2 linked regions of the Alligator mississippiensis genome follow. The protein of the gene in region 1 purifies or fractionates together with the protein of each later gene. This does not show direct contact. Links are inferred from orthologs where the notes say so. Each region holds a gene or a part of one and is shown in the gene's direction. Other genes may lie near its edges.

Region 1 (15,156 bases):
AGTGTAGAAAGGTTACAGCACTTGACTATGTAGGGAGACCCCTAGGTTCTCCTTTGCTTTACCACTGAATTAATAAGAAGCCTTATGAAACATCCTTTGAGTAGCTTTTTGCTTGTCTCCCAAGCTCTGGGACAAGGGATATTTATCTCATTACAGGTGATTGAGGCTTCATGTTTGCAAAGTTCTTTCCGTTCCCCAAATGAAATATCTCCTGCTCCCAACAGAAGCAACACATTGCAGTAAGGCAGTTGCTGCCTAACCTCACTTCTGCCTGTAAGTGCAGTAATGGCCTAGTTGTGAAAAAGGATGCAGGGTATGAGTTGGCTGTTGTCACAACACAGTTTATTCTGTTAGCTGAGAAAAACTTACATTCTGCACCAGAGAGAACTGGCCATTGGTTCCAAAGCCTTGGCTGGTAGGGTTAAGCTTGTTAACCTCTGACTGCAGTACCTTGGGGAGGCTGCCTTGGGGAATCAAGAATAAAATCCACATGGGTAATACAAGTCACTAGGGTTCTGTTGGTCCAAGACTCTCTGTGATTGTCTGGAGATGCCCCCCCTCTTCTCTTACACAGATCCAGCCCCATAAGACAAAACCTGAAATAGAGGTACTGACTTTGATATCTTATAACGCAGGTACTGGAAAAAGCACCATTTTGAAGCCATTGCCCTAGTAGAGAAAGCTCTTAAGGAGGCGTATGGGGCTGACCCGCCCAGTCTCACCTCAGCTGCTTTACGCTGGATCTACAATCACTCTCAACTTAAGGTAACTGCTTGGCTTTAATGCAGACAGTTGGTGTGTGCAATAGAAACAGAATCCTACAGTTGGAAATCCTACATTTTCCAATTGCAACATATCAACAGTGTGGTCACATCTTAACCCACATACTAGCTTTGGACATTTCAAAAAGAACCATACCCCTCCGGCCAGGGGGTTGTCCTTCCTGCTATATCATGTCTCTAGGGGATTGGTCAAAGGAAGATGCTATTATCAGCTTTTCTAGTTTTGGTTTCTCAACTAGCCGCTTTCCCAGGAGGTGCCAAGTTGCCTCTTTCATGTGGCCAGGAATGTAATGGCTGGATTTGCTTCCCCCAGCCACTGCTGGCCACTTAAGGAGCGTAAAGCAGCTGCCTTTGACGGTGGTGAGACTTGTAGGCAGCAGTAGCAGCCTACTGAGCCTTGGCTTCGTTAGTAGGAGTGTAGTAAGCCTCATTCTCCTAGGCACAACATGCAGCTGGGGAGGCAACTTAGGTTTCCTTCAAGGTAACTTCTCCCTTCTCACTGCAGGGGGATGCGGGAGATGCAGTCATTATTGGGATGTCCAACATAGATCAGCTGCAGCAGAACCTCACTTGCAGTGAAGAGGGCCCTCTACTCCCAGCTGTGGTGGAAGCATTTGATAAAGCTTGGCACCTCGTTGCACATGATTGTCCCAACTACTTCCGCTAGATCATGGTGGTAGGAAAGTCTGCACGGGGAGTGGTAACCAAAAGTCTCTCCAGGTCTGAAACCACATCGCCCCTCCCAAAATGACAGATGATTTTTCCGGCCTGGTCCTATGGGTTCTGCCTGATAGACACCTGGTGCTGCCGAGTGTTTTTTTCCTACATGATTAGATCTTTTATGTGATCATAATCTAGCTTGTCTGAACACTGGTGGTATTCAGTTCACGGACCACAACAGTGTCTGACCTTTTTTTCCTCTTTCAAGGCCAAAATGCCTTGAATATCTCTTAATACTGCAGCTCTTGCCAGTCCTAATCAATCACACACCATATCATGATTCAGTGATATAAGTAATTTAAGGAACGGATCCTAAACCAGTTAAGAGAACTAAAGTGGAAATTAACTGTCTGTCTCCAATCTGGACAGCGTCTTCGCTGTCAAAATAAAGCATTTTCTAACCTGGATTATGTTGGTTTAATAGTGAATTTTGTATTGAAGGTTTGCTGAAAGCTATTTTTTGCTAACTGCTAATTTAATTTTCAGTTATAGCTACTGGACATGCACAGTTGCCCTCTGTTTCCAATCCAGCTGTGACACTTAGCAAGCCTCTCAACGATCAGGGCTGACCTTTAAACAATTAATTAGGCCTCTTGAAGCTGGGTTTAGCTGACATACTTGCTGCCTCAGCTACAGGCGTCTTAAAACATGTTTAAGAGCATAACTGAAGGAACAATCTTTGTTTTGTTGTCGGGAGACTCAAGCACAGGAACCATTACATTTGTTCAGTAACTAATGGCTGTATACCATTGTCTTCTCCCAATTCTACTGGGAAGATATTTGGACATTAGGCTGAGGTCCTGGCTTAAGAGGGAAATACTAACTTTATCTTGCCTAGAGGGGCATTTTGAATTGTCAGCATGCCACCAGTAAAGGCTGGAGTTATGCCCAGGTTCCCTTAATGTGTGAAATGCATTAATTATAATTAAGTCAGGTGATAGTATCATCAAAATGATGTCCTCCCCTTCTGCCTCAATAGTAACATTTATTCCACTGCCTACAGTTTTAAATAATTTTCCTTCTCTCTAAAATAAGGAAACCAAGTCATTTGAGAAAGTGTAATTAAAATAGCCTGAGAGATGGAGCAGGGAGAAACTATAGTGGTGACAGCTGTTTGGCATCTTCCCCCATTAAAACTGATAGACTTACGGGGTGACTCTAGAGAGAAGTTGCATCTCTACTGCATAGCAACAAGTTCTAAGCAGTTCTCCGAGGAGGAAAAATTGTAGCAATGTAGATTTGTGCACATACTCACTGAGTCTGAAAAATAGATTTATAGGGAAGGGTTTCATTTTCCACATGATCTTTACCCTGTTCTCAGATTCTGTAAGGTCTCTCTCTCAGCCTCAGGGTTTCCCATCCAAGCAGTGATGAGCTGCACTGAAAGTGTCCAAACTGTAATTTTTTATATACAATTTAATTACATCTTCCGTGATAGATAACAAGTCCGAGATATTCAATTTCATCCTGCTCCAACTGGGAGAGAAACATAGGCTTCTACTGATCGTCCCTAAAACAGAACAACACTGTCTCTAGTGTCCTTCAGTAGCCTTGCTGCTAGTCATCGTCATCATCCTCCTCCTCTTCCTCCATTTCCTCTGGTTCTTCTGTGTCTTTGGCCAGCTGCTGAAAGTCTCCTGTCTCAGAGTTCCACATGCATTTGATGGTCACTTTAAACTCTGACATCTCATAGCCAAACAGTTTCTAAAAAAGAAACAGGAAATCATCACTAATTGTTCTAGTCTCCTTGTGCCTAAATTGTACACTTATAGTAGAAGCCACTTTTAAATAGGGATGGTGAGTGAGGTAGGAATTAAAAGGCTCACTTTTGGAGAGGCATGTTGGCAAATGAACTACAACAATCACCTATATGCAGATAGTTTTCTTTGTCCATTTGCTACATGGTAAGTACTTTTATTGCTGTTCCCATAATTCCTGCTGTAAGCTGACTACAGTGTGAAGGTTAGGGTCTAGGAATGAGGTCAGCTGTTATGCACAACTCATTTAGCAATACCCTGGCCATATAGGGAACTTGAACCTAGTAATTTTCCTCTGTTTTTACAAAGAAGCAATAACTTGCCTCTTGAACATTAGTCAGCAGCTGGGCTCCCACAGTTGTCCCTTGGATTATCAGTTTTTCAAGCAGGTCATTAATTCCCTGTCAAGCATTGTTGCTTACGGGGCAAACGGTTTTTAGAAAGCATATCAAGCTGTAACAAACAGTAGCTACCCGACATCCTGATTGGTCCCTACATAACTGCACTCATGTCACTTGAGCCCAAATGGCTTCAAGGTACAGAATTTATCTTCATATCCAAACCAACCTGGCATTCAGAGCAGGACTTTTAGTGGATAGTATAATGACAAATGCTGACTTTTGCTGAATGGCAGCTGTGCAGATGTGCTGGAAGTATGTTACTCACCAACAGACGAGCCTGTTCAGGAGTCAGGACATCCCCCTCCTTACAGACTTCATAATCTGAAAGCAGTGTCACCACTCCTGCAAGAACATGGAAAAAGGAAGGTGGGATGAATGGCACTTGAGGCAGAGGACCACTGAGGTCACTTGAAACTTCCTATCCGGGACTTTTGCTACCAACATTGTAATGAAGCTACTTGCACTCGCTTTCATCCAGCAGTTTCAGTGATGGTTCTTACTTAAGTTTACCATTTATTCTGATTTTTCCCTCTGTCCTTCAAAACTGGTTTGATTTTGATCGAGGCCTGCTTTAAATAGATTAATTCTTGAAACTAGTCTGTCACAGACAAAGGTGAACCCTGTGATTGATCTATTGTTATGTAGTCAGAAAATGACAGATGTGAAACAAGTGCCTGAAGTCTTGTTCATGGCTTACTCATTTTCATGCAAATATCAGTTCAGCCTGTTTCTACCAAAGGAATTTGGAGGAGGGAAATCAACAAAATACTCCATGTGTTATTTTTTGCAAAGACATAGCATGACACAAATGTTATTTTCCAGTTGAGAAATCCTTGTTATCTGTAGGTCAGGTCAGGTTGTCACCAGCCAACTGGCTTGAAAAAGAAAAGCACCTTGCGAATGGAGCCTTTGTCAGGTGCCTGGACTCACCCATGCCAGAAGGTTATGATATAAAAACAAATATGAAATTAAAGGGGACTTATATCAGATGTTCCCCACGGAACATCTGCTTCTGTTGTCTAGTTCTCCTTGTGAGACCCCACGTGTATAAGACACGTACAGAAATGCTACCAAGGTTTAAAGGAAAATTCAGTAAGGGTAGACTAACTGCAAGGCCCCTGCCCCAAATACCTTTCTTCAAAGCAGTTGGCAGTCCCAGCTGTCGTAACTGAGGCTCCATGGAGTGGGGAAATTGCTCCAGGGGCCCTGTGTCCAGACTCACTGTGTATGGTGCTTTGTTACCTGCACGGGCAAAGTCCATCTCTTTGAACTCTGAGAACCATCTAGGAGAGAAAACCAGGGAGCAAGAGCATTAGCTGTCTGTGAAGTCACCACTCACTAAAGTCTCACGTGGGAAGAATCAGTCTGGACTAGTACCTCCTCTACCCCCAAGAAGCAAAGACAGAGCAAAAGCAGCACCTCATTATGGTTTTCTACTGATGTTCACCACTGTGGCACCACATGCCTTCCACGTAAGAGAGCAAATTGCTTTAAGAATTATTGCCTGAGCCTCTAGCTCTTTGTTAGTTTATAGAAGGCTCTGAGGGCAGAGCCTTCTATTTTTTTGGGGAGTTAGTGATGGAGGGAGAGAAGGGTGTGGTAACTGAGTTTGTTGATATTCCACCTGTTTTTGATGGAAAAAATAGCTTTGTAGGGAGCAAATTCGCAAGGTTCCCTAAAACATCATTAAAGAAACTCATCCCTTCCCAGCAGAGTTCACAATAATTCCCTAACAGATTCCTCTGTATAGTCCGGCTGGAGTGAATGACAGGCCAGATTATCTGCTTCCATGTTGTCTCCTCTGCAGTCAGACAACACCGGAAGACAGTTTGCACTTCTCTCTGTTATCAGAGGTAGGACTCTGGTGCCTTGCTGCTGTTTGAAAATGTCCTGAAGGCTAAGAGTGAGATCTACACCAAGATGAACTAGAGATCAGCTGCCCAACAATAGCTTTCATTTCACTGAGAGGGAAGAGGCTCTTGGTCTGCACTTTAATTCTCTATCAAGATGCTTTATTAACAGTCATATTCCCAGTAAAATGAAGACCCTCTGTCATTAGGCTCAGTTTGCCTGCAGTAATACTTACTCATTCACTTCATTTGTGGTACGATTGGTAAAAAGGAGACCAACTTCACCTCGCAGATATTTGCTGATCTGGAAAATGAGAGCCACATGAAATACAGCAGTATATTTATGAGCAGTGCCAAAGACCCTTCAAAACAAAAGAATATATCCAGGCTGTGGTGGAACTTGACAGAGCTTGTATAAATCACAGAGGGCCCTACCCTCCCATATGCAGATAGCAACTAAACAATCCTAAAGTTTCTTGCATTCCTCTGCAGGGCGATTGATGTTGGGACGGTTAAATTAAGGATATGATTGCATGAATTTTCCTCCTGAGAGGAAACTTCTCCCCTGGTTGAGGAAAGCCACGCTTTAGAAGAACATACCCATAGTAGGCTGTGAAGGATGATTGTTAAGTCATGAGAGGAGAGAAAGGGTTGTGAATCATTGGGTTGGGGGATTGGATGGAAATCAAGCTCCCTGGGAGGTCCATAAGGAAAAGTATGAGAACCTGATTTTGGGAAGTCACTAAGATCTACTCTCATGTTGGGGCTCTTAGCATCCAAGTTTAATTTTTCAAACTGCAGAATTCCACGGGGTTGAGACACCACATTTTTTTAAAGCTTGAATACTGGATGCTGGGAAGATTCCCAGAACCAGTTCCAGTCCTGGTTCAGCAACAGGACTAACAAAATTGAAAGCCTGTCTATCATAGGGGGTCTCTGTAGTTCCCATGGGACAGTCTTCTTATTTTTGCTGCAAAAGGATTACACAGGATAGAGTTGCTATAGTACTATTAAGGAATGTCTCCCGACTGAACATCCTATGAGCCTGGCACCCTATTCAGTGTCCTGGGGCTGGGAAAGGGAATTCCTGTTTCATCTTCGTGCACTTGTCCTTATGTACACCGAAGGATAAATCCTTCGCTGCACTCAAACTGATGTATAGCGAGTGGAGCTATACTAGGTGGCAGCTAGTATCAGAGGTTGCCCAGACTGGAAATGGGGCCATATCATCCCAAAGTTTCCAGGTCAAAGTTCACTCAACTGAAGATGCAACAAATTAATGAAAGGCTGACTTTGTAGTATTATTCTTCTGGTAGCACGTAGGTGTCCCAGTAACAGACTCACTTCCCTAGGTGCTGAACAAACATGGAGCAGACAGTCCCTGCCCTAAAGATCTTCCCATCTAATTATTAACCCTATTTATGGCAGATGGAAAAATACCGATCCAGTCTGGTTGTTTACAGCAGTTCTAGCATTTCCCTCTTAGAGGTTTACACAAAGCAGAGGTTACTTCCGAAACACAAGTGCAAAAACTCCAGGAGTCAGAACCTACCTTGTGCAAGTTCTCCTTGTACTCATCAGCTGGACCTCGGCCCAGGGCCACCATCATGACTTTATTTTTTCCAAAAAATATCCTTTAAAAAAAAAAAAGTAAACTAAACTGCAAGACTCCATATCTCAGTACACCAGAGATAATTAATCATGGATCAAGATAAGCATTCTTTATCTAAGTCACAACTGTCTTCCTTTCTGATATTGCTAAATGGAAAGGGAGTGTCGAGACTTCTCCTATTGTAACAAATTTCAAGAAAACAAGAGTCCTTTCCTGAATGACACACACTTTATCTGACCTTTAAATAATTTTTATGGTTCTCTGCATCTTTTCCAATCAAACCCAGTACTTATTCCTGTGGGACTCCACTAGACACATCTCCATTTAGTGGCCATTCCCACCGAGATGTCAGCTGGCTGGTTTTTAACATACACATATTACATACTTTCTTGGTATTGTGTAGTGCTAACACTGAAATCAAAATGTCACATGGTACCAAATTAAATATTTTATAGCTGGGGTGTCAAACTCATCTAGCTGGATCCAGCCCACCTGCTGTGTGTGCCCTGGATTGGCAACGCTTCCCATTTGCACCGCATGTGCCAGCTCCATCCCCAGGCACAGTATGCAGCATGCACCTGCCCCCGCCTCGCATAGAGCCTGTGGAGCTGGTCCAGGTCATGTACTATAAACAGTGTGCGTGAAGCCAGTTTATGGGCCCGATCCAGTCCAGTCTGGGTCCAGCATGCTGGGCCTGCCTGGCACAAGCACCACATGCAGCCCATGCCTCTGTCCCTGCCCCTGAATTATGTACAGAAACCCGCTTAAGCTCTGCGCAAACTTAGAATGCAACATGCAGAAGCATCAATCACAAGGGAAGACATTTGAGAAACTGCTCCTTACCTGCTGTGTTTCCAGGCAGTTCTGATGTCTTTTAGCTTGTTGTTTCTCATGTTGGCAACAGAGAAAATAAAGACGTATCTGTAGGTATCCACACATTTCCGCAGCTGTAAGAAAGCACGACATGCAGTTGCTATGAACAGTGGAAGAAGATTTCCCACTTCACACCAATACACATAATCAGCATAAAGATAATGGGGTAGAAGCAGTATTTAGGATTTTATACACACATTGCTAACCCCCCGTCCCCCAGCAGGTACTGGTAATGATACAACTTTTTTTTTTAATGTGAGCTTTCCTCATTTGAACTGTTCAACTGGGAAACTATCAGACTCTGCATTAAACAACCGTATAAACATAGGATTTCCCAAAATATATGAGAGAACCCATAATTTTCTTTTCGTGGCGTGGATGGAGCAAGTTCCGAGTCTACGTCCCAGCCCCAAAAATCCATTTCATATAAACTCCTCACATCGAGGATGTATCAGATATTCTGGACTTTAACGTCCTCCCATTGAAGATGTATCAGACATTAAACTGAACCCATAAATATTAAACTGAACCCATACATTAACTCCACAGCTTGGACCCTGGTAGAAGTCAGTACCAGGGAAGATGGTAAGGTTGTGTTTCTCTGTAACACACACCAGGAATTCACACCCAGCTCCTCGGACGTGCGCTCTTACCTCTTCTATTAAGTTCTGTTTGGCTTCTAAACCTTTCTTTGTGGTTTTTGTCAAGGAAACTGGGAAAAGAAAAGAAAACCTGCGTCAGTAGAAGCGATAAGCTGGCTGCTGCTTACGTGAAACAGGACTACAAAGTGCACTAGTGGACACAGGGCGCTTAGACATCAACCTGACACTGACGGTTTTGATTCAGTCTCACCACAGCCGTGTCCTGCTGACCGTTCGCAAGGTTTTAGGGTCGGGGCGTCCCTAAGGCTGGACTCAGGCACCTGGACCCTGGCATGACCGTCAAAGAGGACAGGCCGGCGGTCCTCCGTCGATACGAAACCGAACGCCTTGATGTCATCCGTTTGTGTCTCGAAGAGAAAAACGTGTTCTCATTCTTCAAGAGAAAAACAGAAGACATCAAGGCGCCGGGGTTTCGTATCAAGAGAGGACAGGGTAGCACAAAACCGGAACGTCGTCTCACCCGGACAGAAGGGGGGGCCCGAAAATGATGACAATAATTATCATCACGATCGCCGCTGAAAGGGGATTTTGCCGGGAGCTGGCTGAGAGCACCTCGCCGAGGTAGGGGCTTTCACACAGCGCACAGGCGGCCGCAGCACCGCCTACGTGGGAAAGCTTCGGACTGGTTTTCCCGGGGGGCTCCCTGACAGACGTCACGCTTATGCTGCGATGAACCCACCGATCTCATGTTGAAGCATGGCCTGGCCACACTCCCAATCAATCAAAGCGGGATACAACGAGGAATACAACCCAGTGTTGTCCCCCCCTACCCCCTAATACGCGGGTGGCCGGCTCCTAACGCGCTTCAACGCAACGTGGGTGCGGTGCGGTGCGGGGGGTACTCACCCTTCTTGTCACGCTTGGACTTGGGCATGGCTCGCACGTTGCGCCGCCGCCAGGACCCCTCCGCCGCGGGGGCTGCTGGGAGTCCGCGGGGGTTGCCCGCTCAGGTGCCTGAGCGGCGCCCGCTTCCGGCTTCCGGCGCCGCGGGGGCTGCCGGGATCGCGGCGGGCCGTCATGGCGGGCGGTGCGCGCCTGTGGGTGCCGCTTCTGCTGCTGTCGCCGCTGGTGGTGGCTGCCGTGTACGAGGACCAAGTGGGCAAGTTTGACTGGTGCGTGCGGACACGGGACACGGGCTGGGGGGCGCTTGGACCAGCCACCCCCGGCACACACGTGGGGAGGCAGTTTCCCAGCGCTTCATTATCCATTTGTAAGCGGCCCTCGCCTCACAACACGCCTCGCTACCACGAGTGGAGGCTGGCACGGTGTGACGCCCGCGGGACAGGGTTCACTGCCGTTGTTTTGGGTTGTTTTCCTTCAATTTAAGCAAACAGTGTAAAGGAAGGACACGCTAGTGTGACCTTATTATAGAAAAAATAATTTCTTTCCACATAAAAGCTTGGCATTTGTTTGAATATAATATTTCAACCCCATTAAGTGTGGTGCATTTAATTCCCCCCCCCCCCCCCCCGCCCCAATCAAATCCTTGTGGCTGTTGGGACATAAAAAGGTTCATTTTATGTCCCATTTAGCCACAAGGATTTAAGTGAAATATTCAGTGAGAATAAAAACATAAAATTAAAAAGTACCCTTGTGTTAATGGTATGTCCCAATAGCCGCAAGTACGTATGTCAACTGAAATATTCAGTGGGGCCAAAAAATATAATTAAAAAGTACCCCCCTGTTAATGTTATGTCCCAATAGCCGTGAGTATTTCAACTGAAATATTCAATGAGGACAAAAAAATATATAATTAAAAAGTACCCTCATGTTAATGTTATGTCCCAATAGCCACGAGTATTTCAACTGAAATATTCGGTGAGGACAGAAAAGGGTGCCATGGGGTGCTGCACAATATCAGTGCTGTTAGGGGTGCAAACACGATCCGCGAGGTGAACCCAGGGATTTAGCGCAGGGATTCATAGCGTTAAAAGGAGTCCGACCCGTTGTGGTTTTTCTGAGTTTTTGCAACAGAAGAATTGCTCTATAATTTTTCTGTATTAAAAAAACAAAACAAAAACCCCAAAGAAAACCCAAAAACAAAGCTTGCATTTTCCAAGGGGTACCTGAAGTCTTTCAAGTCTGAACTGTCACTCTAGCTCAGTCTGAACTTCTGTAGAATTGGGTTTGGCATCGAGTCCCAGGCCGTCAGAGTTCAGCTTCTCTCTGAAGTGATTTTCTCCACCCCACAACTAAGAAGGAAATCGGTCTGCTTGCTCTCTGCCAGTCCTCATCAATGGCATTCGTGATTGCCCTGTCTTTTGTGTTATAGTCATGTACAGGTGCTCCTCGCTTAACGTCGTACTTACGCTCTTGAACTATGCGACTTTAAACGAGTCCAGTTACGTCACGGTAGTTACCTGTTAGCAGGCGGCAACCAAACAACGCTATAACTGAACATTGCGCGACTTTAAACGAGTATGTTCCCTAATAGATCAGCAACGTAATAACGGAACAACAATAAGTGAGGAGTACCTGTACTCTAATTTTTATCATCCTTTTCCTATTCACAGTTTCTAGGGTCAGAAGGGACCTGAACAGATCATCAAGTCCGACCCCCTGCAGGAACGAGTGTAGGGATCATAATACCCCAGCCAGATATCTATCCAGCCTCCTCTTGAAGGCCCCCAAGAAGGGGGTTCGTGCAATACGTTCTTTTTGTTTCTTACACCTTTACTGAATCTTTTCTTCCTTAGGAGACAGCAGTATGTGGGAAAGCTCAAGTTTGCCTCCTTGGAAGCCTCGCAAGGGTCCAAGAAGCTTATTGTGGCAACGGAGAAAAACGTGATGGCTGCTTTGAATTCCAGAAATGGAGAAATCTGTGAGTGGAGCATGGCTTTACATGTTAGGCTGTTTACTACCTCACATTGCAACTAGCACATGTGGGGCCAAAATTAAGCCATGATAGATATTCAAATTGAAAAATTACAGTTTGTTTCAAAGCTTGAACTTTACCCCTCTTAACATGAATTAAGTGGTAAATGTGGTGAATGAGACATGGCTTTAGCTTTTCTAGAGACAGGAGCCTGCATGTTTCTCTCTCTGCATTTGTCAGTTTTATTTTTTTCATGCCCAGGGGCTTTGTTTCCCATCTTCAAATATCAATTGATTAGATGCTGATATGGCATGTCTGTGCCTTTGCTTATATCTAGATCTGTTCTTAACCAACATAGTGGGACCAAAAACTAAATGGGGCATGACATTTGAACTCCTCTCTTTCATCCCTCAGACTTATTCTTCCAGGTTACAGATGAGGCACATTTCAGAGGCAGTTATGTGAAAGTTTGTGTTGGTGTTGCTCATGTTGTACCTGCTCTGTGGTTGAACAGATGTTGTCAGTCTGTAGCACTGTCACCTGGTACCTTTTATCAGCATGACATTGGAAAGGAGATGGAGGCGATTCTAATGTACGCGTGGGGAGATGGAAGCTTGTTCTTACTTGATGCCTTGTTTCTTTCAGTGTGGCGCCATGTGGATAAAGGGACTCCTGAAGGAGCTATAGATGCCATGCTGATCCATGGACAGGGTAAGCAAAGCATTTAGGCCTTCCAGTGTGACACGTGTTTGGTTTTACAGAATTATAACTGAGGATTCGATACAGGGCTAAATGTGCTAGAGCTCATGGCTTTGATCCTGTGGTGGGGACAGACGTTGTTAATGTGTACTTACTTCTTGGCCTTTCCTCTTCTGTGTGGATGAGCATTATTTCTTACTGCTCTGCTGTGTTGGATTTGCCATGTGGTGCAGGCTAGGACTACAGCTACACAAAATGTTTTTTATGATTTGTGCTCATCCCCCTGGGCCTTTAGTGCCAGGAATAAAGTGACTTACAACACACAGCATTGTCTGGAAATTACATCGTGACCACCCTCACTGCTGTGCAGCTGACCAGCTGACAGTTGGGTAACTGCATATGCCAGATGTGTTGTACTGTCCTTCTGGTGTGAGTAGAACAGTAATTTGTAGAATTAGCAATGAAATAGTTAATGAAGTCAACAAAACAGTAATAGGGTTGTTCTCATGCCAATTCCAGATGCCATTACTGTGTCCAATGGTGGGCGTATTCTGCGTTCCTGGGAGACAAACATTGGAGGACTGAACTGGGAAACATCACTGGACACTGGCAGGTGGGAACTCTTGAGTAGACCGTTAATTCAGAAGGGGAAATTTGCTTTCCCTGTAGGTATATTTTAAGGAAAGTAGCTCAAATGTCGCTAATATGACACCCGAGGGATTATTGGAGGGCTGCTGAATTTGCAGTTTGTTGTTAAAAGGAAGTTTAATACTTGACCCTGTAGTAACCTGGTATAGTTCTTGCTGCTGACCAGCTTGAAGAGGAGGGAATCTTGGCAGGAGAGTGAACTGCCTTTTTTTTTTTTTTTTAAATCTACATCAAAATGAGGCTAAAGATTTTGTATCTGGGCTTGTCAGATGCAAGACACAATTAAAACCCTGAGTTAGATTAGAGTTTCCTGCTTGTTGATTGAAACTGTGATTGAAATCACTTTGAAATCAGTCCATAGTGTCTATCTCTAGAGAGCTGTCTGTTAAAGTTCTACACTGTCAACTGTACAGAATGGAGGGTAGCTATTTTTTGGGGGGGAAAAATGTTGGTCATAGCTACTGTGGTGGGGAAGAAGATGGCTGTTTTCTGTTACTTAGTGGTTGCTATGGCTCCAGGAGCTAGGTAGTATCTCTGTGTTCATCACTTCACTCCCCATTTCTGATATGTGCTTAGTTTCCAGGTGGCTAGTTTAGTAGGTCTGCAGGATGTGGCGAAGTACGTGGCTGTCCTGAAGAAGTCTGCCCTCTCTCTTCATTACCTTTCCAATGGACACCAGAAATGGGCGGAGCATTTACCAGAAAGGTAAAAATCTGAAACAAAGTACTTGAGGATCACATACAGATCACTGGTTCAGAGCCTGTTTTCTACTGTGGTACCTGTGTGCTTTTTTAACTGTGCATGTATGTCATCAACCAAATGTAGGGGTTTGTTCCTTCTCCTGTTATATCTCTGTGAGCATATAGATCTCGAGAGAGGGACTGTATGAAGAGAGTGTCCATCTGCCTAATATCGGGAGGGAAGTGGGGGCTAGTGCATCAAAATGAATGGGCACATTTCTTTTTGCTGGCTTTTTAGTGCTGGCAGATTATAAACTATGGGTGTTGTGATTTGTGCATAATACAGTACTTACAGACTCGAGAGAGCAGTCATGTAGTATCTTAGGGCAGTGGAACAGAAATCAGTCAGGAGCAGGAAGCTACTAATAAAAGAACTGTATTGACTATAGCAAGCCACTTTGCACCATAGCAGCTTCCAGTCAGAATGTCGGGGCCTACTATATGGGGCACTGGAACATAAAACTGAGGAAAAGGAATTCCTAAGGCATGTTTGTGTCAATGTGAAGAATTTTTCTGGTTGACTACATTTTTGGTGGTTTACACAGTCTTTCCTTGTGAGGCTTATGTCAACATTGAACAGGGCTGTAGAACAGGGAGCTTTAAGCACAGGTTTGAGTGCTGTACAACGTGATTTGTTGCTGCTGCTTTTCTCACAGTGAGAGCGCCCAGTACCAGCTGTTGTATTCCTATGGAACCGGGGTGATATATTCCATTGGATTTGTTCCTCGAAGCCATTTGAACATTCTGACCTTCAGCCTGGAGGATGGAGACATTTCAAAACAGGTAGATTTTGTTGATTCAGGATGGGAACTCTTGTCACCATATTGGCTCTAGAATGGGTCCTGTGTACCAAAAGTACTCTCATCTTTAGCACGGTAGCTAGGGAAGTTTAACTCTGTTGATGATACATGGATGAGATGTTATCCTCTCCCCATGGAATAGCATGGGGACCCAGAAGCTGAATTTACAACTGCATGTCTTCAAAGTTTGGTGGACTCACGGCAAAGTTGAGAGCAGTTAGGTTTCGGTGTCAGATTGATGACAATTTCTCCTTGAGTTACAGGTTAAAATGATGCACTCTTGGTTGATAAATTAAATTCTTCTGGTTTTTTATGTTGGCTTTTATTGGCGTAACTAAGACAAGTGTTGACGTGCACACTAAGCCATGGACCGCGTGCTATCCAGCAAGATGGAAGCAAACTGACACAGCCAAGTTTCCCCTTGGAATTTCTTTGTAGGTTTGCAAACCTGCCATATCTTTCTTGCCCAACAGATAAGAGTTTCAGCCCCCTGGATGAAGAGCCTGAGTGGTGCCTGTAATGTCATAGGGGAGGCAGTGCTGGTGTGTGTGGACACCGATACACATTCACTCTATGCTCTATCTCTGGAGACTGAACACGAGATGAAACAAATCCCGCTACAGGTAAGCCACCCTCAAATAGTCTTCCACGCACAGCTTACTTGAGGTTCACTTAGCCAATCCAGAGTACCAAAGTCAGGGTCACCAATTTCAGGAGTGTCCAGCGTGTGTGTGTACTGGGGGAGGAGACTTTAATACATACCAGAATAATTTGGTGGAGGGAGAAGAGATCGCATC
Region 2 (15,616 bases), on another chromosome or scaffold:
CCGATGGAAACTACACATTTACTGTTTGTTTCAGCAACAAAATCGGAGTTACCCTGATTCCTAAGATAGCGAACTTCACTATTGATATTGGAAAAGCTCCACACCACAAGGGCAAGACACAGAGACAGAAGGTGAGGAGAGCTTCTGGAAGGGAAATCGTTTTGCTCTCCTAGCATGTCAGTTCAAAACGCCTGCTAGAGATTGCAGAATTCCAAGACCTGTTCAGTCCATTGAGTTGGCTGGTTAAAGTGGATTTCAGCTAAAATGCTGAACGTTCAGTAACTTTAGATATGCCATAGTTGTTAGTTTTCTGTAATTGAAGTGGGTTTGGAGAGCATGCAAGGGTGGAGGAATCACTTCCTTATTACATTACAGCTAATGCATGACCTATAAATAAGAAATGTTGAGTGTGTTACACTAGGTAGTTGAATTCTGTGGTAAATAGATCAAATCATAATATTACTTAGAAAATCCCTACTAGTTCAGTACCTATTTTTAGCAAATATTTAACCCACATGTGATGTGAGAGCATGGTTTCTTCCCCCCCTCCCCCCCCCACTTAAGTTTCCTAATACTTTTGTTGATGAGAACATAAACGTACAGTTAAAGGATTCCCTCAAGTCTGGCTGTCACACTTATTGTGCAGAATACTGATACAAGGCTGGGTTCTCTTGTTGAAGGGGAGCGCTTGCCTGTGAGTACCTTTCAGCTTGTTTAGACATTAGAGTAAAGAATTCTTGTGGATGAGATCTATATGGTTGATATAGACATACACAATTGTAGAAGATCTGGCTTCTGATGTTCAAATGTTGCGGTCAGTCTGCCAGGACTTGATAGTCTCCCTTTCTGGAACTTACCCGCCATGCCTTGTTGTCAACAACATCCCCCCCAACTAAACCAAAAAACAAAAAGAAAGATGTAAAACTGAGGAGGTAGATCAGCTTGATCTTACTGCAACTTATCTGGCATTTGGCCTCTTTGCAGGGCTCCTCCATCCCCATACCCTGGCCTTAACATCCTAGGTGTTCTTCATCAAGGACCTTGTTTATGCTCTTAATCAGATACTCTAACTCAGCCCTGTTTTCTTCCTCCTCCAGGTAATTCTCCTCAAGCGCCTTCACTCACCACTAAGAATCCCTTTTGGATTCTGAGGAACCCTCTTGCATTCCGTCCAACGCCAGGTAAGTCAACTCTTCATTCTTCTACTTGCTGCTATCTTGGTCCGGCCAGGTAGGCACTGCACCTCCGTGCAGTGGTAGGAGATTTGCCCCTGCCTGCTTCCCCTCTCCGGGGAAGACATACGCCTGCTCAACCTGCCTGTTTCACCCTCCCACGGATCAATTATTCCTTCCCTAATCATAGTTTTGCGCATCCTGAATCAAAGTGCTGGCATAATCATGGAGCCAGTTTTCACCTGCATGCACCATGGGTTTTTGGAGCCCCTTTAGTTGCCCAAATCTACAATCCATTTGCTCCTGGTCCACCAGTTCTGTTACTCTTCTGTTTAACATTTCTGGCCCAGTCTCTCCCAGGTGCCTTCTTCACTGAGGACCTTGTTTACGCTCTTAATGAGAGATTCTAGCTCAGTCTTTGGTGTCTGAAATGGCAGGCGTAGCCAGTGATAGGACACACCCTCCCAAAGGGCCTTCACAGTCTAGTAAGTCGCAATATTGCTTATTCCCTTGTATTTCCCAGAGTACTCTGAATTCGTTCTAGGCAAATATTCCACGACTTAACTCATGGGCGATAGGGCTCTCGGGGTATCAGCTGGCACCGTTAGTTACCCATCAATATCCCTGGTGCCTCTGGCCCTTAATTAGCTCCATACTCAGAGGGTATTCCTTCTTCTCAGGGTTGGCCCTTATCTGTGCCCTGCTTTCTTTCATCCTTCAGGTAATTCTCCCAAAGCGCCTTCGCTCGCCACTAAAAATCCCCATCAGATGCAGAGGAACCCTCTTGCATTCAGTTTCACACCAGGCAAGTCAAATCTTTGCTCTTCTACTTGCTGCGGTGTCGGTCTGGCCAGGTAGGCACTGCACCTCTGTGCAGTTGCAGGAGACTCGCCCCTGCCAGCTTCCCCCCTCTAGGAAAAACACAAGCCTGCCCAACCTGGCATTTAACTCGCCTGGCTGTTTGAGCCTATCAGCATAACTTCCTGTTTGTCGCTTCTCCATGTCACGAGCCGGCACTGGTAATTAGAGTCCGGAGCTCCAGACCCCACCTTGGTAAGTATCTTAGCGTGCAGAGACTCTCCATTCTGTGGCATGTGCTTGTTTTTTAGCCTCTAAAAAAAACAAGGTTATGCCCTGCCACACCACATCTAAAATGAATCACTTCTTGACCAAATGCCATCCTTACTGGTCTTGGTACCCCTCTTATTCAGGTTTCTTTGCTATTCCCCTGGGTTTGAGGTTCTTCCCTTTTATTCCCACCTTCTCAGCTGCAGAAAAGGACTCAACCCATGAGGTCCCCGGTGCCTCTGGCCCTTAATTATCTGCATACTGGCAGGGAATTCCTTGGTCACAGGGTCGGCTCTTATCTGTGCCCTGTTTTCTTCCCTCCTCCAGGTAACTCTCCCGAAGCACCTTCAGTTACCACTAAGAATCCCCTTTGGATGCTGAGGAACCGTCTTGCATTCAGTCTCACGCCAGGTAAGTCAGATCTTCCCTCTTCTACTTGCTGCCATCTTGGTCTGGCCAGGTAGACACTGCAGCTCCGTGCAGTTGTAGGAGACTCACTCCTGCCTGCTTCCCTTCTCTGGGGAAAACGCATACTTGCCCGATCCACCGTTCAACTCTCCTTGCTGCTTAAGCCTATCAGCATAACTTCTGGTCTGCCACTTTTCCACACCACAGCTAGCCCTGGTAACTAGTCTGGAGCTCCAAACCCTGCCTTGGTAAGTAGCTTAGCAGGCAGAGACTCCTTGTTCCATGGAATCTGCTTGTTTTTAGTCTCTCGTGGCAGGGCATAACTGATGCTCTGTCACAGCAAGCTTTTTGTTGTTACTAGTCACTTCCTAGTTGGTGGATAAGAAAATACTTCAGCCCTGTCTTGGGTAAACATCTAGGTAATAATTTGAAGAAGACAGTCCAAGTAAAGAACTTGTGTACAGGCAGGATCAGGGCCCATCTCTTAAGTGAGTGTTTCTGGATGAGACCATTTCTGTCGCTGGGTCCTGGTGGGTAGTAGTTTAGTGGATGTGTAGTGTCAGAACCCAAGTGCCATAGTGGGTCAGACCAATGGTCCATCTAGCCCAGTATCCCATCTCTGACAGTGACAGAAATAGATGCTTTAGAGGGAGAGTATTGAACCCAATTCTGTAGAGTGATCTATCCCCTATCATCTGTGAATTTATCCAGTCCTCCTTTGAACCTGGCTATGCTACCTGCCTCCACCTCCTGTGACAATGAATTCTGTAAGTTAACTATGTATTGCCTGAAAAAGTTCTCAAGTATTTGCCACTACTATTTGTGTTAGCACAGGAGGCGTTGGATGAGAAGTAAGAGCCCTAGCCATAAATTAGAATTTCAGTGTGCTGGGGACTATTAATAGCACAGAGCAAGATGGTCCCTATGCCAAACAGCCAACTTTCTCTGACAACAAAGACAATGAGATATAGTGGGTTATGGTATCGGAACACCACCTGCTTAATTGCTGCTGTCAATTTTTTTAGGTTCCAGTTTTGTACCAGGAAGCACAAGGGCATCTGTGGCAGTCAGTGATGACTAGAAAATGATAGAGATTAGTTTTTAGGAACTAGCTTGTAGCTAGAGTAGGTATTGCATTGGAACAGTGGTTCAGGCTTAATTGGCAAAGGTTAATTGGTTTCTAAAAGCCTGTTTGTGACAGTTTCATAGCCTTCAGGGCAGATACCGTGTCCAAGGGCCAATGGACAAGCAGGTGTATGCATCCTGGGAATTTAAGAACATCCAAACTGTTCCATAACAAAAGATAGGCTTGCTGCATTGGCGCCAGGGTATAGTGCCCAGCTATAAAACCCCTGGGAATTCTGTTTTTGGTGGACTTACCAAACTAGGTTGGGGTTGCCCAAATTAAGACACGGGTAAATGACCAAATTAAGGTTGTATGCATATGATGGGTTTGTGGAACCAAATAATTATACTGGCAGAACAGAACGTGGATAGTATGACGACCACAGGGAAACCAACCGACGATACCCAGAAATGAAGAGTCATCAGAGGAGAGAGAATACAGAAGGAGTGATCCTGAGGCCACCATGTGCAGATGGCACACCACTAGCCCGTTTCACCCACCCCATTGTGGGGAGTGGTCATCAGCCTTCGACCTCTAGGCTGCTGATATCTGGCATACTTCAAGCTAAAACCACAGGGTAGTGTTTGTGTATTAGCCAGATATACTTTACTTTTCCTGTGTGACATCCTCAGGACTGGTAGATAAGTAGAACTAGGGTGGGGGTGTATTTTGTTTGCTTTGCTTACACTACTCTTATCTGCTATCACTGTGTATCAATAAAATTTGCCTATTATTGAATGGAAGAAGTTGTAGTTGGTCTGAGGCTTTGGGTCTGCCCAGAACAAGATATCAGGACTGGGTCATAAATCCACTGTCAACAGTCGCGAGGTCTTTATGCATACTAGAACATTGGGTCTCAACCTTTCTGGACTTGTGCAATGAGAGATGCCCCCTTGAGATACCATCCATGACTTTTGTGAACTGAGTAGCACCCAGTTTCAGAAACTGATTTATACATTACAATCAATGCTCACCTACTCGCAGAAGGGTGGAAGGTATTCAGGCAGGCCTGGGTTCATTGACTTAGCCTCTCTTTATCTCCTTACGCCTTGTTTATCGCCTCACGTCTTGGGGGGACTCTTAAGAGGTTTTGTTGGCATCCAAGGGTGCCCCGACCCCCTGGTTGAAAATGCTTTCCTTCTCTTGCTGGATTAATCCATGCTTTTTTATTCCCTTTTGGGTCTAAGCTGTCAAATACCACAACATAATCCCCCGAGTAATCTTACTAACATTAGCAGTAAGAATCTAATCTAATCTGGAGGTAATTTTCTCTTCATTTTCTCAATTATATGGATGTGTGTACATAACAGCAGACTTGTTAATAATTTTTTTTAGCTTGCAACTGTGTGAACATTACAGTGCCCCTAATAGTGTATCGAATGCTTTAGAGCTTAAACCAAACATCACACTGCCACTTATTTCTTACACTTCATGGTAAAAGGGTGGGGCAAAATGCAAAAACAATGGGATAGGATTGGGGGGGGGGGAAGAGTTTAAAAGAAAGGGTGTGAGTTACCGCTTCTAGATGATAGTCAGCATTTTATGTGCATGTATGATCAGCCTGAGAGGAATAGATAGTTTGAAGTCTAGTGGCATGTCTGTCCAAACCAATTATCCAAGCTCATCAGGAAGGTATTTTCAGATGGAGTTGGAACATAGGGTTTTTGCTTTCCTCAGTACTATGGGAAATTATTTGCATTCTTTTCTTCCCCAGTTCTTTACCTGTAGGCCATCAGAGCTGGGGGTTTGGGGGTACTCTGAGACTGCAGTACATCAAAAGAGCTGCAGCAGATGTTCCTGGGGACTCTTTGGAACTAATAGTTACCTGTGGATGCAAGAGCCTGGACTCAGTGGCCTGGGAGGCCTCTTCCACTCTTTTGTCCCCATGATTTACATCCAAACACTGCAGGGTTTGGACATAAATGAAGTCCGATAAGCAAATAAACTGATTCATTCCATGTTATCAGCATCACGTTATGTCCCATCACGAGTGGTAAAATCACCCAACTTCCCCATACATGTGTATCTCAAAGAAAACAGTCCCAAATGATTTGACAGCCTACTTCTTTGCATGACAAGAGTAACAAAAAAACTCCATCTAGACTATTCATCAGAAATCCACTTCCACAGTGTATGTTCATTAACATTTTATTGGAAAAGATAAGACCCAATACAGCCTAGAAAATGCATGAGAGTGAATAACAGCGCAGTCATCGCTTCCATGAATATAGTGCTTATGAAGGCATGAAAAGCAATAGTAATGTAAGACCACATGGAAGGCAATACCAGGGCATCTCAGAAATGAGTATATCTGGGATAAAGAAACCCAAGGGGTTGGAAGGGGCAGGGGGGTGCCAAACCCAGAGTCAGTGTGAAAGGGCTGCCCAACCTTGATGTGCATCCTTGCAGAGGGAGAAAAGTAGCAAACAGAATAGGCTGGTGGTAATTGGGGACCGTACCCAGCTGTGTGGCAAAAGTGTAGTAGAACCTCACTAGTTCACACTAATGACTGTGGAAACAATGCATATTAGGGCTGGATCCAAAGCCTACTAAGATCAGGTAAAGTAATTTAATTGTATCAAGGGGCTCTGGGTGACCTGTCACAGGGCAGGCACATCAAGCTCTCAATTAATTTTCTATTCGATGTGCACCGACAGCCCCAGTCTGCAACTTGCGTAACAAATGCAGCCAGTTCTACACACTTTCCATGGAGGATTCATGCAAATAGAGAACTGGTTTTCAGCCTCACTGATCTCAAGGCACTTTCAATAACTTGTTAATTCCAAATTTAAACAATCAATTTATATATTACAGTCCTCACCTCCCTGCTGAAGGCCCAGGCAGTAGGGATAGGGCAGGGGCAAGGCTCAGTTTGTGCTTATCTCCTCACACCTGGAGGCACCTTCAAGGTATCTGGTGGCCCCCCCGGGTAGTGCAGCACCCAAGCTGGAAATTGCGGCATTAGACCCTTGTTGGCGGTCACTGGCTGACACTGAGCTTCACTACACCTTCAGTGATAGGCGGCAAATATTCTCATTTCCATTAGTTATAAAATGCAGGCAAAACAGCATACAAGTTTCAGCAGAAACATGCAAGTTGCTAGGGAAAGCTTAACTCCATGCAGTTCCTGATCGCATGGGTTCTTTGGCCACTCCCCATTTATGTATTTGGGAACTTGGTCTCATCACGTTGTTGTATTAGAGCCTTTCAAGAACAACAAAAACTTGCACAGTCTTTTGTTCCTTTCTTATTTTGTGACTATTGTTGTTTCATTATCTTCCTCTTAAGAAGTGGAATTCAGAAGTGCCAACAAAATAGAAGTCGCTACTGTGAGCAGATGCTCACCCTCTCCTTCTCTCCATTGCTCCAGCAAGGGAGAGACAGGGCCTTGTTACAGCTTTAAATTAAAACTGGGTTGAAACCAGCTCTGGAGTTGTTATATGTTTTCAAGCACTAACTCGATAGCTGCTTGGGTCTTTTTATAGAATCATAGAAAATGAGGGTTGGAAAGGACCTCAGGAGGTCATACCTGGTCCAGCTCCGACGACACCTCCCAGCCCAGGGGTCTGCTACTGCAGAGCCCTCGAGGCCGGGCCCAGTCTCAAGTTTGTGGCGCTGTTCAGTGCACGAGCCCTTTAAATCCGCGCTGCGCGGTTTGGCCCCTTCTGCCCGCCGTCCGGTCCTCACGTGGCTACCGCCCCGCCCCCTGCGCTGCACGGAATCCCTCAGCCTCGCGCTCGGGTAGCGCCTCTTCACAGCGTCCCTCGCCGGCTGCCGTAGCGTAGTGTCGTACGTGGCAGCGGCTGCACCCGGGCCTATGAGCGGCGGCCCCGTGCCCGGAAGGGGCGCGGCCTGGGCCGGAAGTTCCCCCTCCCTTCTGTCCCGCCGCTCGGTCCCCGCTGGGCTCCGCCATGTCGCCGGTGCGGGCGCTGCTGGCGCTGCTGGCCGCGCTGGCGGCCCCCGCGGCCGGCTACTTCGTGAGCATCGACGCGCACGCCGAGGAGTGCTTCCTGGAGCGCGTCCCGTCCGGCACCAAGATGGGGCTCATCTTCGAGGTGGCCGAGGGCGGCTTCCTCGACATCGACGTGGAGGTGCGGGCCGGGCTGGGGGGCGCCGGGCGCCGTCTGCCGGGTCCCCGGACTCGCTCGAGAGCCCGTGGGCGCCGGGTAGCGCGCTCCTTTGTTCCCCCTGCTTGGCGCCCGTCTTATTGCCCTGCCATCTCCCTCCCTCCCGTCCCGGCTGTGTGCTCTACGTGTCCCCAGGAGCGGGAGGGGCGCGGCCGTCTGTGGGGGCCGAGACCCGCGTGCAAAGAGGCCTCTCGGCATAAGGAGTGCCCCCTTCCACAACAGAGCGGCTCAGTGGCTGGGGTGGGCCCACGTGCGAAGAGGCCTGTGGGCATCAGGCCCGTGCGCTGCTGCTGAATCGCTCCAAGGTGGAAAGGAAAGGGCTGTTGTGTGGAGAGCGGGAGGAGAGATGGAGTTTGCCAGCCCCCTGGAGCACGTTGCTGAGGAGCCGGGTGCCGCTCCTGCTGGCGGGTTCGTTGGGGGCCGGCAGGTTAGAGCGTGGGGCTGCAGTCGAGGCGAATCCAAAGGCTGCTGGGATGTTCGCGCGATCCCTGTGGAGGCCTGCTTGCAATTTCTATGTATTTGTTCGTGCCAGTCGGCTGAATTCCTGTTGGGCAGAAGCAGGGTCGGATCATCCGGCGCGGCTGCTGGTGACTAGAGCCTCCCGAGCCGCAGGAAAGGTTCAGTTGCTTCTGCAGAGCAGGCAGCCCGAGGCCAAACTGCCTTTTATTGTGTCGCGGTGTCGAAGCCCTGAGAGAGGGGGCAGCTCTGTGCAGTCACGTTGCTTACAGAATAGTTCTCTAAAAACTTGGCTTCTACGCTCAACCCTGCAATCGTCTTGTGAAAGTGCTGGAGATGAGGCTTAAGTTAGCAGAGGATGCGGCCTGGGGTTGCTTCTGGTACAATAGTGCTGATTAGTTTGGGTGATCATAAGGTTTTCTCTCTTGAGGCATGAATGGGAGTCTAATTTGAAATCAGTTTTGACAGACATCCTTTGAACGGTAGGCTTTTTTGTGGGGTTTTTTTTCCCCCCAACAAAAGCTTCTCTCGCGTTGTTTTGGAGTCTGATGGACTCTAAACATTCTTTTCATGGGATGTTTTTCAACTGCCCCTGCAAATGATATTGCTTCATCAACCGCAAATCGGTACTCTCTCAGGATGGACAGAAGTTTATGACACTTGTATTTAAAAAACATGTAGCAGTATTACACCATAGTTTGGAGAGGAAAGCGAAGAAAATTATCAAATCCAATTTAAATCGGAGACAACATGTAACAAGAAACTGGGGTCAGTGCTTGTAGTTTTGGGGACAAGAGTCTTAAGGATGTAGCTGTCAGTACATTGGTTCTATTTCTCTACAACAATATAGAAATATACACCTAAGAATGATAATGGTTTATTACAATAAGTATTTTTTTCTGACGTAAGGTTTCTGTATTTTCTCTGCAGTCATTTGCATTACTAACTTGCAAGGCTGTAGATAGACTGGAGCTTCAGTTATGACTGACTACAAATTTTTTTTGCTAGTGCTGCAAGAGTTTTGCATGTCTTGGCTGTTAAGAGAGGCATTCGCATAGCTTCTTAAATAGGTGTTTTCTGAGAGGTTCTGATGCAGATTGGGGAAATATCATCTAGGATTGCAGTATCTAGAGAGAATGTCTTGAGTTTAGTTTGTTTGCTTTTATTTCCTTTTAATTCAGGATTTCACTATTGTGCGCCTGTCCTGAAATGATCTCTTTGCCCCCAGATTACAGGACCTGATAATAAAGGGATTTACAAAGGGGATCGAGAATCCAGTGGAAAATACACATTTGCTGCTCACATGGATGGAACTTACAAGTTTTGCTTCAGCAACAGAATGTCCACCATGACTCCTAAAATAGTGATGTTCACTATTGATATTGGAGAAGCTCCAAAAGGGCAAGACATGGAGACAGAAGGTGAGGAGAGCTTCTGGAAGGGAAACGATTCTGACTTCCTTGTGCATCAGTCCAAAACACCTGCTAGAGATCTCAGACTGCCAAGACATTCATTCAGTCTATTAAGTTGGCAGCTAAAAAGGATCACAGTGTGTTTTAGATTACACTAAGCAACTTAAAGTGACCAGGGAACCGCTCAGCTATGTGCAGAAACTAATGCTTTCACCTTTAAGTCTTTTCCTCAGTTTCATTCTCTGATTTCCAGTTCACGTTCAGCAGTATCTAGATTACTGTGTACATGAGTTGAGGTCTTTGGATAAGTGTGCTAATATGTAGTTTTCTCTTAGCCATGTAAATTACTATTTTATCTGCAGCCTTTTGCCCTGTACTTGTGTTCATCTCTTACACTTTCCCCTAGGTGGTGGAGATACCTGGGATGGTATGTTTACAGCTTTTTGAAAGCTCCTTGGCATCTTGTCTTTTGCATATATTTATTCACTAACACCTAACTTATGCTTTTTCTCTTTAACATCTGTTTGTAGCATGAGAATGTCTTTTTATTAAACTACACAAAAGTAAGGTTTGATTCTGAGTGATGCTGAACACCTGCAGCTTCCTTTGAGAGGTTTAGGTCAACAGCATCTCTTGGGATAAGACCCTGGAACTCTTCATGAGCATTTGTCTTCTGGGGGTTATTTATGGCTATCAAGGAAACAAACATCCTCAGGAGTTTGTGTAAAGTGGAATTCAATTAAAACACTGAACATTCAGTTACTTTAGATATGCCATAGTTGTTAGTTTTCTGGTATTAAAGTGGGTTTGGAGGATTAAGGGCATGCAGGGCTGGAAGAATAATTTCCTTGTAATATTACAGCTAATGCATAACCTGCAAGTGAAAAATGTTGAGTATGGCATACGAGATAGTTGAATTCTGAGGTAAATAGATCGAATTGTAAAATTATTTGGAAGATTTCTAGCAGTTCAGTACCCCTTTTAGCAAATATTTAACCCATGTGTGATGTGAGAGCTTGGTTTTGCTTTTTTGCCCCCTGCCACCTCCCTCCCCACCAAGTACTTAACAACTTCCTAATTGCCTATGTTCTCATTCATAAAAGTTACAGTTAAAGGATTCCCACAAGTCTGACTGGCACACCTATTGTACAGAATACTGATACAAGGCTAGTTTCTCTTGCTTAAGGGAAGTGCTTGCCTGTAAGTATCTGTCATCTTGTTTAGACATTTGATAGAGTAAAGAGTTCTTGTGGATGATGTCTGTATGCTTGGTATAGACATACACAAGCTTTTGGGTATCACAGTACCCTTCCTCAGGCCTCTCTCATCTCCGCTCTTGATAAGAAGCTACCCATATTTCAGTAACCAATTGGCAGTGGGTGGTGTACCTGGATAACTGTAAGGTTAGCATTGCTATATTTTATAAAGATTTTTTTTTGAAAATGGCTCATAACTTGTATAATTTTTTTCATTATTTCTTAAAGAAGTGTGGATTTTGAACAGTTGTAATCCTTCTCTTGTTGAGAGAGAGAGAGAAAGGAGTTATATATAGCTGTTTAAAGTAGGATCTAAAGTCTCTGCTCGTTATATGCAGAAACAGTGTATGTTTTCCCTGGGGTCAAGTATTCCTTTCCTCCTGGCCCCCCCCCCCCCCCCCCCCCAAAAAAAAAAACCACAACAACAAACAAACCCCAAAAAACAAAACAAAAAAAGTCCTATACGTTGCTTATAGGCTATTCTAATAGTTAGTAGTGGAGTTCAGAGCCTCTGAATCAGTGAACTGAAACTCTTCTTGGTGCTAGAAAACTCTCATATAAGTTTCCACAGTCTATATGTTTATAGAGTTGGCTGTTAGTCTGAGGAGTGAAGGCAAGTAACAATTGGACTGTGGACCAGGTAAACCCCTGAATCCTGGATCTCCTGATTCTTTCACTTGCTGAAGCATCCAAAGCCAGTGTTCTGAATTTGAAAAGACAGAGGTTTTTCTTGAGCACTAATGTCCTTGTACCTCATGTATCCACTATAAACAAAGGTCAGAGAGGTAGCCAAGTGTATATCTTCAGAAATTCATTTTGTTTAGACACCATCATGAATTGAATTAAATTAAATTGTCAGTCACTGTGCTGTCAGGAAGGTAGCATTAAAATTCTGTATTATTTATTTGAAGATAATTTTATGGGATAGGCACTAACTGGCATGATATTAAATTGATTCCATGTGGTTAAATTTTGTACTCTGCTTCTCTGGAAGTGTATCTGTACTACGGACAGCCTGTCAGTATTGACTTTAAAAACACTTGCCTCTGCTCTCATCTCCAAGCTAGACATCATGGAGAAAGTGGTCCACTTAAAATAGGATTGTAAAGATAGTTTGAAATCGGTCGAACTATGCTTTGAATATTAAAGGTTCATAGAAGTATCATTCCCATTAGCGTCAACAGATATCTTTACAGAATTCTTTTTGCTACAAGGTGGAAAGCTTTCTGCTGTAGGGGGACCCTGAGTGTAGTATGGAGTCAAATATACCTGTTCATCTACTTTCAGGAGGAGGGTTGTTGTTTTTGTTTTTTTTTTTTGGGGGGGGGGGGGGGAAGGAGAGATCTCTATGATACAAACTCTGACACCTTTTGAATTATTCTGCAGCTCATCAGAACAAGCTAGAAGAGATGATTAATGAGTTAGCAGTGGCCATGACGGCTGTAAAGCATGAACAGGAATACATGGAAGTTCGCGAGAGAATACATAGAGCAAGTATGTGTTTCTGTTTGATTTGCATGCTGTTTAATCCTTTAACCTGCTGTGCATGGTAGAAGATGTTGAGCTTTAGGGAAACAATCAAGAAACTACCTCAGGTATTTGAGAGTTTGACAGTGTTCTGAAAAAGGTCGTCCTCTTGCTAATGAAAGAGACATCATCATGACACATTGAGACCTTCTTGCTAAATCAGGTGCTTTAATATTAAAAAAAATGGATTTGCTCCTGTGGTGCAACATCTGAAAGGTAATGCAGGAACTATTCATAGTTAGCAATGGCAGGTTCCTGAAGGTCTGAAAACAAGTGACCTATTTCCTGGTGAAAGGGTTTGGACAGATGTATCTGTTTGTCCTTGAAATACAGCACAGCAAAGTGGGCTTACTGTAATTGGCCAAATTATTTTGTGAGTAGTCCTTTTGATAGTGAAATTCTTACTACTCACAAGTACAGTGAATTAGGTTTGGGCCATGGTATGATCCAGTCTTCACTTTTGCTAGCGCTAAGCTAAGGAACGCATTAGAATAAGCCTGGCGCAAATAAAGAGGGAGCTATTTTTCCACCACTTGGATTAGTGCTGAATTTGTAAATATGCTCTGTATATTTATACAGACTTCCCCTCGTGCAGGGAGATTATGAACTGCCTAGCGAAGGAATTTTCAAAGAAAAGCATAAGCACAAGCTAGGGGAAAATATCAAGAGTAAGTTTGAGAGGGCATTGCTTAGATTAGCTCAGTTAAATTCTTCTGTTATTGCAATGCTGTACATTGGTTTTGACACTTGTAGTCCATGTTCAGAATTGCATAGGCAGCAAAAGTGTATCCTGGTGTTTTATGCAGACAACAGTGATTACTGTAAAAGCATTATGACTTTGCTGAGAGCCCTAACCATTTGCTGTCTTTGTGATGGTGCCTGTCCCCCTTTTTTAAGAGGATATAGAAATTAGATGGTATAACATTAGGCTGTATGACTATGAATGTTTTAAATAGGCAAATCATGTGTCACACAATATGAAGCCAGCAAGTGCTTGGTTTTTACAAGATGACACCAGTCTACAAATTGCATGAAGGTGACAGCTTCTTGACATGATATTTACAGCAAATTATGCATTAATTCATTTGCATACCAACCAGCTTTTATTGGTTGATGGCTATATTTCCCTTGTTCTTCTATGATTATTATTACTGGAAACTACACTAAGTCTGTAGAGCAAACACTAGTCCCTGAGAGAGTGAATTGGTATACCAGCTTGACCTTGAGGTTAAAAAAAAAAAAAAAAAAGTAATTCCTAGTTTAGAAGGTGAGGGAGAAGGTAGAGGAATATAGCTGAAGTAAGGTACTAGGTACAGCTGCCATACAACGTGAGCAAGTCTGTTAGTAGGTGTTCTTATGCAGATGCTGGAATTTGTGATTTTGAGTTTTAGCTTGAAAATTTCTGCCCTCTGAACAGTGTGAATCAAATGAGAGCTGACATTGTATTGGCAAATACTACATCTACTTTTTGGCCTTAATTCCTTCAGTAGCTGCAGTTTTATGATAGAAGTCCCAAAACATGTCTGTTGGATTTAACCTTTTTCTACCATGTCACAGTCTTCCCAGTGTGTTTTTTCATGTCTGCCTTTTAAAGGTTGGTAGACGTTAGAGAAGTGTCCTACACCAGGCTTTTTTAAATGTTTTAGTCATATACTTGTTCTGTTCCTTTTTCTTTTCTTCCAACAGTTAATGACAACACAAACAGCAGAGTGGTCCTCTGGTCATTCTTTGAAGCCCTTGTACTAGTTGCCATGACACTGGGACAAATCTACTACCTGAAGAGGTTTTTTGAAGTCCGAAGAGTTGTTTAAGAAAACTGTTCTGATCCCAAATTCTCAATTCACCGTCTACCAAAACATCTTGGTCACAAAAAAGTCACTTAGTTTCTAAACCCTCTTTTCTGAACTATAAAACTTGCTTAAGTTCCTTCCTAGTTAAAATGACATGGTTTTATATATCTTCTGTAGCAAAAGCTGTGCTCAAATCTCTTGTCACTTAATTGGCATAATTTTTTTTTTCACTTGAACTCTGCCTAGTCTGTATGCTAAGCGAGGTCCAACAGACTGCAAATGCTATAATTCTCCTGTAGTAATAAGCAATGTTACTGTCCTTTTCTAACTTTTGTGTTTTCTATTTTCATAATCCATTGCAATCCTGTCTAGGGAAACGGTACATGGCCCTAACGTGACTATTTGCATTCTTCGTATCTTTAACTCCGCAGTAGATGTTATGGAATCAAAATAAACCCCTCTTCGCTTCCATGTACTGCCAAGAAGGAGCAAACGAAACAGAACTTTATTCTGATAAGGAATAGAAGACAGCTGAGAACTCCACTATAGTATGCATACCTGGTTACTGTAAAAAAACAAAACCAAACCAGTAACTATCTTAACTACACTGATTTGTTCCCCACATTTTTTTTAATTAAAGAAATTGATATTACAATACATTCTCTGCTCTTATTATCAGACGGTTATCATGTGGTTTTAGTCTTTTACAGGTTTCTAACTAGCAGAGCCAATTGTGTGCAGTGTCTTGGCAAACCGTAGTTATTAGCCCCTTGGTGTTTTCAGGTCCAAAGCTTTTACTATTGGCACTAGTGCAGAATGCATTAGTGCTCAGGAAATGTGGGTTCCTGATGCCAAAGGGTTAATGGTTCTTGAAGGTATATTGCAATGCTATGCAGCCCTTACATTTTAATTTAAGTGGCATTCTTTGCCATCATCTGGTCATAATTAGCATAATGCTAAGTATTGGTGTGTTTTCTTTATTTCAGGCACATGTGGATTTTTGTTTTTGTATAAACAACTCCTTTCTTTTCTTGGTATCTGATAATGGATTTGAAAAATTAAAGAAGCGTCTGGTGTGGGTGCTGAGCCAGGATTATGTTGTGACTGATGTATATTAGTTGTAATCTTATTTTTTGGGGGTGGGGGTAGGGTATGGTCTTTTCAAGGGAGAAGCTCTACAAGTAACACACAACAGTTTTGTACAATTAATTTAAAATTTGTTACAGGTTTTCATGTTCCAAGTAAACTTTTCCAACCTTGGGCAGACGCTGACA

The links.
Region 2: the proteins of EMC1 (region 1) and TMED2 purify together in Homo sapiens (affinity purification with mass spectrometry; 3 studies listed by BioGRID and IntAct, with this or other methods). This does not show direct contact. The link is inferred for Alligator mississippiensis from reciprocal best matches to the Homo sapiens genes EMC1 and TMED2.

Annotation. Positions count from the first base shown.
Region 1 is NC_081836.1:4,887,142-4,902,297, reverse strand, and holds the start of EMC1 (ER membrane protein complex subunit 1), read left to right. Parts: upstream 1-9,644; 5' UTR 9,645-9,674; coding exon 9,675-9,769; intron 9,770-11,353; coding exon 11,354-11,478; intron 11,479-12,117; coding exon 12,118-12,183; intron 12,184-12,690; coding exon 12,691-12,784; intron 12,785-13,395; coding exon 13,396-13,524; intron 13,525-14,215; coding exon 14,216-14,342; intron 14,343-14,832; coding exon 14,833-14,982; intron 14,983-15,156. Other genes in the region: AKR7A2 (aflatoxin B1 aldehyde reductase member 2), read left to right, coding at 636-765, 1,288-1,449; MRTO4 (mRNA turnover protein 4 homolog), read right to left, coding at 3,060-3,206, 3,926-4,002, 4,792-4,943, 5,747-5,814, 7,063-7,144, 7,966-8,069, 8,649-8,707, 9,504-9,531. UniProt on the Homo sapiens protein: Part of the endoplasmic reticulum membrane protein complex (EMC) that enables the energy-independent insertion into endoplasmic reticulum membranes of newly synthesized membrane proteins.
Region 2 is NC_081833.1:5,924,508-5,940,123, forward strand, and holds the start of TMED2 (transmembrane emp24 domain-containing protein 2), read left to right. Parts: upstream 1-7,633; 5' UTR 7,634-7,685; coding exon 7,686-7,865; intron 7,866-9,585; coding exon 9,586-9,778; intron 9,779-12,411; coding exon 12,412-12,519; intron 12,520-14,238; coding exon 14,239-14,363; 3' UTR 14,364-15,616. UniProt on the Homo sapiens protein: Involved in vesicular protein trafficking. Mainly functions in the early secretory pathway but also in post-Golgi membranes.